Linked DNA regions of Saccharomyces cerevisiae S288C. The main gene of each other region encodes a partner of the protein of the gene in region 3 in a complex. Each region holds a gene or a part of one and is shown on either strand. Other genes may lie near its edges.

Evidence for each region. The genes of interacting proteins can lie anywhere in the genome.
Region 1: SNU13 (region 3) and SNU114 share a complex: the UniProt entries of both Saccharomyces cerevisiae proteins name them as parts of the U4/U6-U5 tri-snRNP complex.
Region 2: SNU13 (region 3) and SMX3 share a complex: the UniProt entries of both Saccharomyces cerevisiae proteins name them as parts of the U4/U6-U5 tri-snRNP complex.

Annotation. Positions count from the first base shown.
Region 1 is NC_001143.9:119,505-126,043, reverse strand, and holds SNU114 (U5 snRNP GTPase SNU114), read right to left. Parts: upstream 3,528-6,539; coding exon 501-3,527; downstream 1-500. Other genes in the region: EBP2 (Ebp2p), read right to left, coding at 1-285; TPO5 (Tpo5p), read left to right, coding at 3,808-5,664; Zn(2+) transporter ZRT3, read right to left, coding at 5,740-6,539. UniProt on the Saccharomyces cerevisiae protein: Component of the U5 snRNP complex required for pre-mRNA splicing. Binds GTP.
Region 2 is NC_001148.4:897,060-900,954, forward strand, and holds SMX3 (mRNA splicing protein SMX3), read left to right. Parts: upstream 1-3,134; coding exon 3,135-3,395; downstream 3,396-3,895. Other genes in the region: GTPase-activating protein SEC23, read right to left, coding at 302-2,608; DPM1 (dolichyl-phosphate beta-D-mannosyltransferase), read left to right, coding at 3,696-3,895. UniProt on the Saccharomyces cerevisiae protein: Plays a role in pre-mRNA splicing as a core component of the spliceosomal U1, U2, U4 and U5 small nuclear ribonucleoproteins (snRNPs), the building blocks of the spliceosome.
Region 3 is NC_001137.3:99,119-104,097, forward strand, and holds SNU13 (RNA binding protein SNU13), read left to right. Parts: upstream 1-2,824; coding exon 2,825-3,205; downstream 3,206-4,979. Other genes in the region: YEL028W (uncharacterized protein), read left to right, coding at 1-11; VMA3 (H(+)-transporting V0 sector ATPase subunit c), read left to right, coding at 1,651-2,133; YEL025C (uncharacterized protein), read right to left, coding at 3,463-4,979. UniProt on the Saccharomyces cerevisiae protein: Common component of the spliceosome and rRNA processing machinery. In association with the spliceosomal U4/U6.U5 tri-snRNP particle, required for splicing of pre-mRNA.

The sequences.
Region 1 (6,539 bases), on a different chromosome or scaffold from region 3:
GTCCTGTTCTTGCATTTTTTTCAATTCTTTTTTCAACTTTCTTTTCTCTTTTTTAGAAAGGGCTTGGCTTTGATATTCTTCAGTATCTGCAGCAACTTCCTTCTTAACATCGGCCTTCTTTTCTTTCTTCTCAAGCTTTTTCAAATTAGAAGCTGTAACGATAGTTGGTTCTTCTTTCTTCAATTCTTGGGATTTCTTTTTCTTTAGGTCATTTTCAAGCTTTTCAGCTTTTTCAATTTCCTTTTGATGCGAAAGCAACTCCTTCAACTTGAAACCTTTAGCCATTCTCTATATACCGTTGTTCAACTAACTGTGCTTTGTTACCGTTTAACTTTTTAACAGCGTAAAATTCTATAAAGCTCATCTCATCTGTATTTAGGCAGAAATAAAAAATTTTCAGTCCCGATGAGTAGTTATATCACTAAATACGAAGTCATATGTAAATTCTGCTGAATAAAAATATTGTGGACATATTGCTTAATTCTTATGCGCCAAGATTTTCACGGTACTAAGCCATTTTCTCTTAATTGAGCGTATAATTCAGCGCTTATATACTTTTCAAGCGTAGGACCATCATTTGACATAAATCCACCTGTAGAAATACCCTTCCGCCTTCTTGTTTTCATCACGAAATCACGACTTAAACTGTTGATAGGTGCGGGTTTCAATTTTGGAATAAACGCATCTTTATCCAAAACATCACCAGGAACCTTCCTCCATATCTTGTGCCAAAAGTACAGCTGACACATACCAAGACCATTCGTAGATAATCTCAAATCTGTCTCGAATCCTGCAGATTCAATAACCGGAACTTGTCCACGAACCTCCAACAATGGTGTCCCTGCCACTTTTATTGTTTTGTATATCCTGCTTCCACGTCTCTTCTTCATAAGTTCCTCTACTATTGGCAGCAAGGGGGCGTGGACCGTGATGTCAACTTCATAGATGGGTTCCAATAAAATTGGGATTGCTGTCAGTAAGCCAACGTAACAGGCTTTTTTCATTAGCGGAATAATTTGACTTTTCATAACGTCAATGTTTACGTCGGAAGGTACTGAGATCGATAACAATTTATACTGTACACCATAAATTGGTTCTTCTGCCAAAGGCCCCTCTTTTACAGCCCAGTAAAATCCTTGTATTATTTGTTCCTTATATTTGGATAATAATTCAGGACTGATTTCATCTGGCAAAGTGTCATTAATCAACACGTTGCCATTATAAAAAGACCAAACGTTTCTTGATGCCAACGAATCCCACCCATACTCGGTTCTCAATATTTTGGATAGTTTCCTTGGGTTGTCCATTATTCCGTCAATATCCAAGCAGTTTTGACCCTTTCCCAATGTGTTCCTGCTCAAATCCTGAATCATTTTAGAGTCCATTGGTTCAGCGGCTACACTAATCGACAGACCTGGTAAATTTTCCTCACCAAGGCGAGATATCGAATTACTTACAGGTATTGAAGCGAACGATTCATTTGAGCAACTTTCAGAAAAAACAGTTAAAGGATCAGATATTTTAATTTCTATCTTTGCATAACTCGCTCTTAGATCATACAACAAACAGTCCATATACAGCTCTCCATTTCCTAGTATTACATGTTCTCCAGATTCCTCAACTTTAATAATAACGCCTGGGTAGTATTTCGAAATTTTGTTCAGGGCATCCAATAACTTGGGTAATTCCCTTGGCAGTAAAGGTTGAAGAACAATTTTGAAAACTGCCTCGGTAATATAATCTAAAGGTTTGAAAAATTTTAGCTGTTTCATGTCCTCCTTACTCTTTACAGAGTACAACGTCGCGGATTTAATATATGCACTTGAAATACCTTTTATTAATACTATCTGTCCTTTGTGTGCTTCATGAACCGGATAGACATATCTGCCACCTAATAAGCCAATTTCTTCGACCTCACATGAAGGCGTTTCGTCATCTTCATCTTCATCTTCGTTGGAGGTTTCCGTCTTTGAGATATCATGCAACTGTCTTTTTTGGCGAGATTCAGATTGTGATGTATCAAGTATACGTACTGTATCCCCTCTCTTCAAAAGTCCAGAGTATATCCGTACAAGGGACCACTCTGCTCCACCGTAATCCACAGTTTTCAGTACATGAGCCCAAAGAGTGCCTTCTGGTGTAGATTTTCCTGGAATTGAAAGATGAGCTGTCTTATTGTCGAATAATTCAAATGGTTGATAACATCTGGTTATCGCATCTACAAGACCGGTTTGTTGCCTAAATATTAACTGTAGAACGTGTTTTAAAAAAGGTTGCGGATCGTACTGGAGGGCCTCTTGACTTAAATTAACTCTAAAGTTAGACCTTAACAAATTCTTTAATTTATCTTTCTCCATAGATAAAGCGTAGGAAAATATTTTATAAAGCGGGATGAGGATAAATTCAACGAAAGTCGGGTACTTCTCTACATTTTCAAATGGTTTTGTCCTGAAATTACCTTTATGGTAATATACGCTACCCCATAGCCTTGTGGTAAAGTCGTCTATCTTAGAAGAAGGTATGGAGTGGGCGTAATAATAAGAAACAAATTCCTTGATAGTGAATGTGAAGCCCAGCTTTGTAGACGCAAATATTATGTTATTGTCTATTGGTGAAAACACGTTTCCCTTCGTAAAGGAATTGATATTTGCAATTATATGATTTAACTTCAAGTATGCGTCCATTGGTGGCAACTTTAAATCTAGAATCAATCTGTCGAGTTTATTTATAACAAAACACATTGCTACATTATTTTTAATACTTTGTTTTATCAATTGCTCTACCACAAATGTAACACCTTCTACAACATCTATCACGATTAAAACCAAATCACTTGCTGCAAGTGCGACTGCCGTTTCATCCATAAAATTAACATGCCCTGGTGCATCCAAAAAGTTTATCATTCTAGACTTGGATTCTAAATCGGTGCAGAGTAGAGTGGAACCATTAAGTTTAATGGAAAGACCCCGGTCAATCTCTTGTTTCAAATTATCCAGGTATCTTAGCGGTTTCCATCCAAGTTCTACATTCTTAGACATATCTGGTATGCGTTTGTGTGAGTCGATTACTAGGAGATCCATCAAAGAGGTCTTACCTGAGTGAAGAGGTCCAATGACACCAACATTTATTATCCTCTCCGGAATGTTAGCCATTGATAACATATAGTCTCGATTATATCTAGTCTTCGGAATGTTTTTTTTTAATTGTGTAAAAATTGTATGCTCTTGCAACTTTGTTCGTTCTGTAACCGGCTCTACCAGTGGAGTCTGTGGTGACTGTGTGTTCTTAGTTTCCATTAATACTTCCACTTCCTTACCATAAGGGTGCTCTAAGGAAATTCCAAGTTCCTTTTTACTTCCTAACGAGGTAAGTTGTCTGCTCTCAATCTCATTGTTGTTGCCGCTCCCCTCAAACGTATTGGTTTGATATTGTTCTTGCTCATCCAGCACACTTTCTTCTTCATCCGAGTCAAAAGGATCAACTCCGATCAAATTTCCAAACTCATCGAATAAATCGTCACCTTCCATTTTGCTATGTTAGGAGCTATTGTGTATCGCTTCTGTAAAAGCAGCTAGCAATCGTCAGCCGTTGGCAAGTAATGCCCCAAAGCCTTGTTTTCTGCCACTTTGAAATTTTTCAGGCCTTTCCGGCATTAAAATTTCCGCAATGAGGCTTTAACAATCATTAATCATCCCATAAGGATAAGCCAAAAGAACAGATCATCAATTTGACGAAGAACATACCAGTCCGTGTATTTGTTTGCCATTGTACAATAAAATAAATAAAAATAAGTCAAATAAATGAAAAATGCCAGAGTATACGCTACTGGCTGATAATATAAGGGAGAATATCGTTCATTTCGATCCGAATGGTTTGTTTGATAACTTGCACACCATTGTTCATGAAGATGACAGTCAAGAGAACGAGGAGGCCGAGCATTTCAATTATGATCAGGTGTTGGATAAATCGTTATTGTCAAGAGGTTCTATTGTCGGTCTCGGTTTAGGACTAATGAGTCCCGTTTTAGGAATGTGCACTAGTATGGCCATTGGGCTAATTAATGGTGGTCCGTTAACTATAATGCTAGGTTTTTTAATCAGTGGAGTGTGTATATGGTTTTCGTCGCTTTCTCTTGGTGAGATTGTTTCAAAATTTCCGATGGAACTGCATGTTGGGAGTGCCATGTTGGCCCCGGAGAAATTGAAATTAGTATGTTCGTGGTACACTGGCTGGTTAATGCTCATAGGGAATTGGACTATGAGTACCAGTATTACTTTTGCAGGCGCTCAACTTACCATTTCTTTGATTCTGATGACGAACTCCAACCTAATATCCGAGGCACACTTGATTTTTTACACAGTCATTGTATTTTACTTAGTTGTGACTGTTGTAGGCCTCGTGAATTTGAAATTTGCAAGATTTATTGAAACAATAAACAAAGTCTGTGTTTATTGGATCATATATGCCATTATATTTATTGATATTCTTCTACTAGTATTCCACAAAGGTAAATTTCGATCTTTGAAGTACGCGCTATTTCACTTTGATAATAATCTATCAGGGTATAAAAGCGCATTTCTTTCCTTCATCATTGGATTCCAACAGTCTAATTTCACGTTACAAGGTTTCAGTATGTTACCTGCTTTAGCTGACGAAGTCAAAGTTCCTGAGAAGGATATTCCACGTGGTATGTCGAATGCGGTATTGTTATCCGCGTTCTCTGGAGTCATTTTTCTTATACCAATAATGTTAATCCTGCCAGATAATGATTTGCTTTTTACCAATCATAAGGTTCTACCAATAGTGAACATTTTTACAAAATCGACTGATTCGGTGGTCTTGTCTTTTTTTTTAGTGCTCCTAATTTTAGGAAACTTACTGTTTTCCGGAATTGGCTCGATTACTACATCTTCTCGTGCGGTATATAGTTTTAGTCGTGACCAGGCTATACCATACTACGATAAATGGACCTACGTCGAACCGGATTCTCAGTCAAAAGTCCCCAAGAATTCTGTTGTATTGAGTATGATAATATCATACTTTTTAGGTCTGCTAGCTTTGATTTCAACGGCCGCATTTAATGCTTTTATAGGCGCTGCAGTGCTCTGTCTTTGTTCTGCGACTTTCATTCCGTTAGTCTTGGTGCTGTTTACGAGAAGAAGAGCTATCCGAAGCGCGCCAGTAAAAATCAGGTATAAGTTTGGTTGGTTCATCAACATTGTTTCTATTGTGTGGCTCTTGTTATCTATGGTTTCTGTTTGCCTACCAACGCAAGTGCCTGTAACTTTCAAAACAATGAATTATGCTTTAATGGTGTACGTATTCTGCATTTTAGTTATCACTGGTCTTTATTTCAAATGGGGGAAGTATAATTTTAGATTACCCTTGGCAGATGACATCAAGGCTCCAATTCCCAGTGATGCGGAAGAAACTGTTTTTGAACTAGAGGATAGCAATGTTGAACATACTCTAAACTCGGGAACCACAGTGAAAGAGTCTGTAGAAAATAATTCTGAAGAAGGTTTCATCAAGGTGCATCCTAAAAGTAGTACAGAAAATCCCTTTGAGGAAAATGAGGAAAACGTGATAACCGATTATGGTGATGAGCACCATACAGCAGAACAAGAATTTGATCTTGCCGATGATCGTAGATATGATATATGATATATGATCGTGATTATACACCGTTATTTAATGGGAAAAGACTTATATAGAAAGAATATACGTAGTTTTAATTTATCAAGTGAAAAGGGCACTCGCTAGAATTAGCAAAACGCCAGTGCAGCACCATTTCAAGCAAGTTGTGCCTGAGCTATGGGACTGTTTCATTTCTTCATCACCTTCTCCTTGATGATGATGATGTCCATCGCTAAATCCGATACCAGTTTGGAACATTTGTAAACCAATTACTAATAGGAACCCTGCAGTAACGCTCAGTAAAAAATCCATGTTGGGTTCGTGATCCCTTGGAGTACTACCTTTAAAGATGAAATAACCTATCAATGCACCTAATGGTTGAGATCCACCACCGAGAACGGCAGTAATCAAAATGGCAACCCATTTAGATTCGAAAACAGTGTAGAATGGTAACGTCATTGCAAATCCTTCGACAAAATTATGGATCGTCAAACTTAAAAAAATGGAAAATCCCAAGGACTTTGACGAATCTGACCTGTTAGTGTAAAAAATAATAAACCCTTCGGGAAATTTGTGTAATGCAAGGACTAGACAAGTTTGCATACCAATAGACAGTAATTTGGAAAAAGGGGTCTCTAAGTGATGATGGTGGGGGTATAATGAACCATTTTCGGGATGGTATTGTGTGTCTGCCAATGCGGCCGGATTCTCAGTTACATCATTTCCCAAAGGTGACGAAAAAGAGTGCGACAACTGGTTGGAACCATAATTTTCGGGCGATTCAGAGGAATGATGATGGCGGCTCGAAAGAAAATTCTTACGGTACAACGATAGGTTTTCAAGATCGTAACCGATATTATTTTCCACGCATACAAGGCCACGATGATCCTTGTCATCGGATT
Region 2 (3,895 bases), on a different chromosome or scaffold from region 3:
ATAATTGGAGGCAGTAAAGCATTATAGTCATACACAATAATAATAATAATAATAATAATAATAATAATAATAATAGTAGTAGTAGTAATGGTAATAAAAAAGTTAGAAAAGAAATTAGATACAGATATTCGTAGTAAAGGCCACGCAGTACAAAAAAGACGGAGAATATATTATATAAAATCCTCTACTCTTTTCGTTCAGGTCCAAAGGAAAATTCTTGCACGCGCAATGGACTGAACAGGCCTTATATTATACAAAAAGCCTAATAACGATCAAATAAAACAAAAGAAAGCCGTTGCTCCTATGCCTGACCAGAGACGGCTACTTGTTGTAAGTGAGTCATGAAATTTTGTAAGGAAACATCATCTGTTAAGACAATTGTAGATCCTCCGCGCGCCATGTCTTGATAGTTATCGGAAGGATTCAATTTAGATAACAAGAATCTGGCTTGAGAACCACCGGCTTCAGTATCAATGAATCTTGGTAGCGGGAACCTATCTACTAACAATTCTGCGGCTTCTAATTTTGGCTCTTCAAGAAGAGCTTTGAAATCTGCGTACTGTGGATCGTCTTGGTAACCGGCTTTTCTCCATTGAGCGATTTGCTCACCGTGGTATATTAAGATGAAGAAAAATGTATCTAATAATAGAATGGTATTGGGTTTGACGGAGATAGAGTCTAATAATACCGGTTGTGGATCGTCCTCCATTGAGAAAGAAGTTAGAGTTGGTTGAATCATGATTAAAGAATTAGTCGTATCCTCTCTTGTGAAAATATGTCTATAAAATGCAGTTTCATCCGGAGAATTGTTAAAGACACTTAAGAATTGGGATCTTCTTAAATAATAGGTAAATTGAGGATACAGTGAGAAATTTGGAGCCAACCTGAAAGATTGAGGATCATCTTTATTATAGTCGGCGTACTTTTGACATAGCTTAATCAAAGTTCTGTCTAACCATCTAATAACATCTGCACCATCATCGGTTTCAGCCTTGTGAACAGCAATACGAGCCATCAAAACGGCAGCAGCTTCTTGATCGAAAGAAGCTGCAATGGCAGGAGTACCGAAGGGCAAAAGCTGGTTTGCGACCGTGGTGACTCTGATACGGTTGGTACCAGAGGAGTGTTGATAAGTAGTGATGAATTGAGTATATGCTAGATGAGGTCTATCTGCTGAACCAGGGGCAGACATCATTGGGTTAGAATTAGCCGCAGTGTTTGCAATTTCAAAGAAAATCGCATACGAGTGATAAGGCGATAAGGAAGCCATCTTCCAGGTGGACGTTGCACCTATACCGATTTCAGATTCACTGATGTTGTTAGCGTCTGTCTTCTTTACAGCAGAAGCATGCCCAATCAAACCTTGTACCTTCAAGTCTTTACTTGTCTTGACTGCCATATTACCATTGAAAGCCATCTTCAAATACCCTTCTTCATCCTTGGCAAACAATCTCAAGTATGATTGCTTAAAAATCGCGGTAGAGAAGGCATCGGTTAGCAACAACACACCTCCAGTAGAGTCGGTCAACTGTTTCATTTCAGACATACCGATTTGATCGTAACAACCGGCAAAAATATCAACAGTGTGTCCATTGGCGGCAACTCTTTGTGCAATCTGGTTGTAAAACTTACAGGCCTTCTTGTAATGTTGCGCGTGATCAGAATCGATGTCGTGGTGGGATCTTAAGGGATCTTTTAACTCTGAGTTAACAATCAAACCTGGGGCCACGGTGCCTGGACCGGAGGCGAAAAGAATGATTCTTGCTGGGATGTTCTTATAGCAGCCCTGTAAAAGCAAAGATGCAATGTTCAAAGCGGAACCTGTGGCCCTTAATGGCCTATGACCCGCTGGAACAGACCATTGGTCTGGAGACAGATTTTCCAGTAATTGATTCAGTTTGAACTCGACCTGTTCCAAGGGCAGGAAGAACCTATTCAAAGAGAAGGGCGTAACTTTGTTCATGGCGTTCGGTAGATGAGATGCAGCACCGCCGGGGCCGGTAGGCTTTTGGCCGGTCAACATTTCCGTCAACGCTTCGAGCTGGTACTCCCTGTCTCCTCTGAACACGTTGCACCTGTCAATAGTTTCGCTGGACAGATCGTGCAATTGAACAACGTTTCCGTAAGTGATCAACCCAATCAGCGCGTTGGGAGGTAATAGAGACAAAGAAGTGATGATAGACTCCTTTAGCGAATCGAGGTTCTCGGTTTCCGAAGTCAAATCCACAACAAAGAAGAAAATGGGAGGAACGGTAACGGGCTTATTGGTGATGTACTCAATGGTGGTGGACTGTAACTCTAGCGGCATATTCTCCTGTGACAAGTTGGTGTACTGTGGAGGTAAATGGTTCCTGGAGTTACAGATGGGACAACTCCAGGACGAATTGCGCGGATCAATCACACAGTAAGGATTTAGAATCGACTTACAGTGTGGACCGGAACACACAACTGGATTGTATGGGGCAACGTTCAATTCGTCATACTCCTTCAAAGGTGTGTACAAACAGCCCACAGGGACGACGTTGCTGTTAGCGTCGCTTCTAGTAGAGGGAAACACGTTCCAGGTGAAACGGACCCCGTTGATGTCTTCATTAGTCTCGAAGTCCATGGCTAGAAAAGAGGAAGGGGAGGCAGGCGACAGACAGATAAACACTGGCTTCAGTTAATTGTGTGTCTTGCTGAACGTGGAAAGATCACAACAAGTATCTTTTTTTCTTTTTTCAAACGTGTTTTTCTTTTATTCTTGCTAGAACTTTCCTCCTTTGTAACAAACGAGAGGCGGCGGGCTAGTCGTCGCAAGCGACAAATCTCAACTGACAGTAAATAACGGTGATAAAACAAAATTAGCGCAATCTCTCAAACTACTGAGGACAACCAACTTGAATTGCACTCTTCCAAGTTGTAGCATGGCTTGGGGGGTGTGTGATCCCATCCTGTATTATGGCAAAGCAGGCAAAACAACCGCTCTGCCGTCCGGGTAACTTTTCTTGTTCCACCTCTTTTCCCCAACATATATGAACATGAGATGGTAAGAGCAAGAAACAACGGTTCTATGAGCAACGCAAAAACAGCACAGCACACACAGCACCGCGTACTATACCACACCACACACTACGTCACAACACAACAAGACAATGAGCGAGAGCAGTGATATCAGCGCGATGCAGCCGGTGAACCCGAAGCCGTTCCTCAAAGGCCTGGTCAACCATCGTGTAGGCGTCAAGCTTAAGTTCAACAGCACCGAATATAGAGGTACGCTCGTGTCCACGGACAACTACTTTAACCTGCAGCTGAACGAAGCAGAAGAGTTTGTTGCGGGTGTCTCGCACGGCACCCTGGGCGAGATATTCATCCGCTGCAATAACGTGCTGTACATCAGGGAGCTGCCGAACTAAGACGACTGTGCTCATCTCCCTTACATACCAGTATATTTACATACGCCCTCTACTGTAATACAATATCATTCTATAGCACTCGCATCGCGTATTTTTTTTTTATTTTCTTGCTTTATATTGTTCTATTTTTCTTCCTTATTCCTGCCTCTGGATTTCCCTCGCATGACAAATAGCGTGGAAAAATAAAGGATTTCCAGTATTTGAAAAATTTTCAGTATTCTTACGTGTTCCTAACTCATATAGACCGCTATTGTAATAACGCTATCGCTTCAATTACACACAAACATACACGCACCCACAATGAGCATCGAATACTCTGTTATCGTTCCCGCTTACCATGAAAAGCTGAACATCAAACCCTTAACAACCAGATTGTTTGCCGGCATGAGCCCTGAAATGGCCAAGAAGACCGAGTTGATCTTTGTCGATGACAACTCACAGGATGGCTCCGTTGAGGAGGTGGACGCCCTAGCTCACCAAGGCTACAACGTCCGCATCAT
Region 3 (4,979 bases):
AGTTTCAGTAAGTACTCAGGTATTACGTTATGTACATGTATGATAATTCTGATTAACATCTTTTATACACAAAGATGTATGCATGAATGGTGCAAATATCTCGACGATGCGCAGTAAAGAAAGCAATTTACTACTAACGTCTAGCGATATCATAGATGATGACAGGATAACGATATAGGTTAGATGGATATTGGAGTAATTGTCAAGTCCCATTTTGATTGAAGACAACATTATTAGGCCTACAGAGTTGCTAAAATTCTCCACTAGGTCACAGGAGTTCGCAAAAGAGAATCAACAATCTACATAACCATGCACACATTTCTTCGTCCTCTACGTTATAATTTACTGCTCTAAAAGCGTCACTTCTCCTTTCATTTTATGTTTTATTGTTCATTATCCTACTGCGTTATCAATCCTTACATTTCGGCTTCCACTAAATTTAATGACTGCTTCTCATCATTTCATGTCTTCTAACGCCGTATATAATAATATCCCAGCAAAATATAACTGTTAGTTAGTGAATCATAACCGACTGTTACTCCTGCAATATCCATGGGAGAAATCACCATCGGAAGGTAAACTAACACGTAGGTATTGATTCTACCGGAAATGAACAAATGTCGTACTGCCCAAATGAGCCAAATGCCATCATATACGCCTTCATAACTATATTTGAAAAATACCTTTGCCTAAAAGACGAGTGGTATTGGAAACTTCAATTAGTGTTCAAAAATGTCCAGTGAGAGGATGAAGTTGTCGTGGTTGAAACAGCATAAACCACCTAAAATAGTATCAACTGACAACAACTGTGGAACACATGCGGTTACTTTTATAATTAACCGCAAAATACCTGAAATGAGCTAAGAAATAGTAATTATAAACATGCCACTACAAGTAACAGATTAAGTGATATGTTGGCGGACCTCAATATAAGCGACATGGAGAGATAGAGATAGAAGAATTTGTTATTGTGTTAATAAATAAAGTTAACATCCAGTTCTTTCAAGTTGGCTAAGCGCCGTGGCGCAGTGGAAGCGCGCAGGGCTCATAACCCTGATGTCCTCGGATCGAAACCGAGCGGCGCTAATTTTTCATTTCTTTTTGCCCGCAACAATAACACAGATCGCAATCATTTAAGCTATAGACTATAAGCTTTAACTTCTGCGTTATTATTAATAATTGTTATTGTTTTAGTTAGGTATTTCTATCAACTTATTTTATATATTCTATATTACAGTTTTCTTTTTTTACAAATTCACCCAGCAATTATTTATTATTAATTGTACATCTTCTTTAATAATGAATTTATTATTGCACAATATTCAACTTAGGAAAGATAGAGGAACTGAATTCTTTATCAGCAATGAAATAGGCCGTCTACGGCCGTCTACGGCCTATTCCATTGCTAAAAATTTGAATCGTATAAAGGGATATTACCCGGAAAAGAAACGCATTAAAAAAAAAAAAAAAAAAAAAACAGAAAAAGTGGTTAAGTGATTGACTGACCCTTGATAGTTTTGTACAATTATACACTCGTTCTGATTAAAAACTTGTTTATAAAAATCTTTTTAAAAGAAAGAGAAGATCGTGTTTATTGCTTTTCTCAAAAAGACTAATCAATTAGAATAACAAAAGAAACATATACATATAATGACTGAATTGTGTCCTGTCTACGCCCCTTTCTTTGGTGCCATTGGTTGTGCCTCTGCAATTATCTTCACCTCATTAGGTGCTGCTTACGGTACTGCTAAGTCTGGTGTTGGTATCTGTGCCACTTGTGTGTTGAGACCAGACCTATTATTCAAGAACATTGTTCCTGTTATTATGGCTGGTATCATTGCCATTTACGGTTTAGTTGTTTCCGTTTTGGTTTGTTATTCGTTGGGTCAAAAGCAAGCTTTGTACACCGGTTTCATCCAATTGGGTGCCGGTCTATCAGTCGGTTTGAGTGGTCTAGCTGCTGGTTTCGCTATTGGTATTGTCGGTGATGCAGGTGTTAGAGGTTCCTCTCAACAACCAAGATTATTCGTCGGTATGATTTTGATTTTGATTTTTGCTGAAGTTTTGGGTCTATACGGTTTGATTGTTGCTTTGTTGTTGAACTCCAGGGCTACTCAAGATGTTGTCTGTTAAGGCAGCTTCTGAATCACTAAAGCAGGAATAGAGTATACAAAAGAATCTTTTTGTGAGAAACTATGAAAACTATCAAAATTTTTCATCTTAGAGATTGTTTATAGCCCCTATTCTTACTTCATATCCAAACTACCTCATTTCAAGCTTCCTTTTTATTAGTACCATTATTATTGTTTAAAAGAGTATTACACGCTAAATATGTATATCTTAATTTTTAATGTGTATAAAATAGAAAATTTGAATATCAAGGAGCAACAAAGAGCATTATGCGTTTTAAGCTACACAATGGGTACGATGAGATCACTATACCTGTACTCTTAAAAGAGGCCCAACCTTATCAACTTCTATTGTTAAAGTAGACAATTGTATCGTTTCTTTTTCTTATCGGTTTTATCCGGGTAATAAATTCAGCATATAGAAAAATTTTTCATTTCTATTTTCTTTTTCTTTTCATTTTTCCTTTTTCTCAGAAAATTTTTTTTTCTAATGCTGGAATGAGATGAGTTAGAAAATTTTTCACTTTAAAACTGATTATTCTGGTTAATAGTGCTTATTCCTCTTAGTGTTCAAGTCCTACTTTCAAATCTTAATTTAAATCATCATTCGAGCGAGCTTTCTATACCAGGACCATACTGATTATTGCAAGGAACTTGAATAAACCAGATTTCATACTATAAAAACTATATTAAAAATGTCTGCCCCAAACCCAAAGGCTTTCCCATTAGCCGATGCTGCATTAACCCAACAAATCTTGGATGTCGTTCAACAGGCTGCTAACTTGAGACAATTGAAGAAAGGTGCCAACGAAGCTACCAAAACTTTGAACCGTGGTATCTCCGAATTCATCATTATGGCTGCTGACTGTGAACCTATTGAAATCCTATTGCATTTACCATTACTATGTGAAGACAAGAATGTTCCATATGTCTTTGTTCCATCTAGAGTTGCTTTAGGTAGAGCTTGTGGTGTTTCTAGACCAGTTATTGCTGCTTCTATTACCACCAACGATGCTTCTGCTATCAAGACCCAAATCTACGCTGTCAAGGACAAGATTGAAACTTTATTAATTTAAGTAGATTGGATTATATCTATCAACATAGTTTTTGTACCATCTATATACTATAAAAAAGTTTTTTGCTTTCCACTAGTGCAGACGCTAATAGTGCTGTTTTGTTAGTGGTATGATATATGTCATATCTTCATTGAATAACCTACTCGAGTGCATCTGTAAATGCACAAACATGTATTATCAATTGAGCTGTAGTAATTTAGGCATAACAAAAAGGTGCAAGATCTCATGGCACCTATTCGTTCGTAGGAGATTTATTGTCACCTTTTTAGTTTTACAGGATCGAAAAAATCTATGGTCTTGTATGGTGAATGATCTATATGTCTTCTCTTTGAATTTCTAGCTAGCTCATCAAAGCCGCTTTCATTTATTCCAGTCTCTTTACTCACGGAATATTGTTTAGTAACATTTCGCATGCTTTTCTCAGACCTTCGAAAAGCTCTTTTACATTCGAGCTTGATCTTTTTGTAATCATGCAACGTTCTCATCCACAGCTCACCAATGAATTCCGATATTATATAAATTTGGCCCTCAGTACCGCAAAGTAAAAATAGAGGTATGACGCCTTCCAACCTTTGACTATTGAAATTTGGACATATTTGAAGGTTTTGAAATCCATCTGGGATGGCCGCCAGTGAGATTATCTTATTAGGTAACCGAATTTTGAGGTATGGCATAGCCAACCCGCCCTTATCAACTGATAATTTAGAATCTTCGTATATTGTCAAGGTATTATCAATACCAATGGTGGCAACATAAGATCTATTGGAATATTTCAACGTTGCACAAGAAAGGTCTGATAATCGACCTAATAGATAGTTCTTATCACTCGCTAAACAATCGTTTTTAGGTTCTCTTAGCTTCTTAGGAATTATTTTAGTCGCCACTTGTGTAATGCTTCCCAACCGCTTAAAACCCAAGTAGGGACATTCAGGGTACTCTGATGGATATACTATGGACGTCCTAATTGGAAAGCGGGTTCTCAAAAAATCTCTCAAGATCTCAAATTGAACCAGATAATCACCACTCATATAAGCTGGAAGACCTATATGGTTAATCGATGAAAGTGCTGGGAAGGAATAGGCCTCTAAAATTTCCGCGCCCTCTTTTAGCATGTTTATTTTATATGCTGCTATGCCACTATCACCAGAAAATAAAACCAAGTTGCACTCATAGTATATGAACACCGAGAATATACAATCTTCGAGATAATTCGCGTACAATTGGGTAATGTTATTGTTTCTAATTTCAAACAGCCAGAATTTTGTACGTTTTTCACCAACTCCTAAGCATACAACAAACTTATTACCATAAAAGGGTCTCTGTGATAAGTAGATTGAGTTTTGTTCTGGCCACAGTGGCTTCACAACGGCATGTAAATACTTTTCATCCGAGAAACTGAATGTGGAAACTGCCTTCATTGAAGCATAATTGAATAGCATCAACTTATACTGCCTACTATTGCTATCGACCAAACACACCACGGCCTGATTGAGGTTATTTGGAACAGTATAGAGCTCTACGGGAATGCTAGGGAGGTAAAAGATATGATTTTCTAATTGAGGTTTTAATGAAGTCATCTGCTTAGTGAAACCTTCACGGTAAAACGTGCTACCAAACTCAAAGATGCTTATTCGAGAATCATAATCTAAAACACAAAGAGAGAACAGTGCTTTACCGGGTCGAATTCTCATTCGTCTTGGAACTAAGCCTAACTGTATGCAACCATAAGACATGTTTTGAAGATTTAACAAAATTATTTCCTTATCGTTGTAAA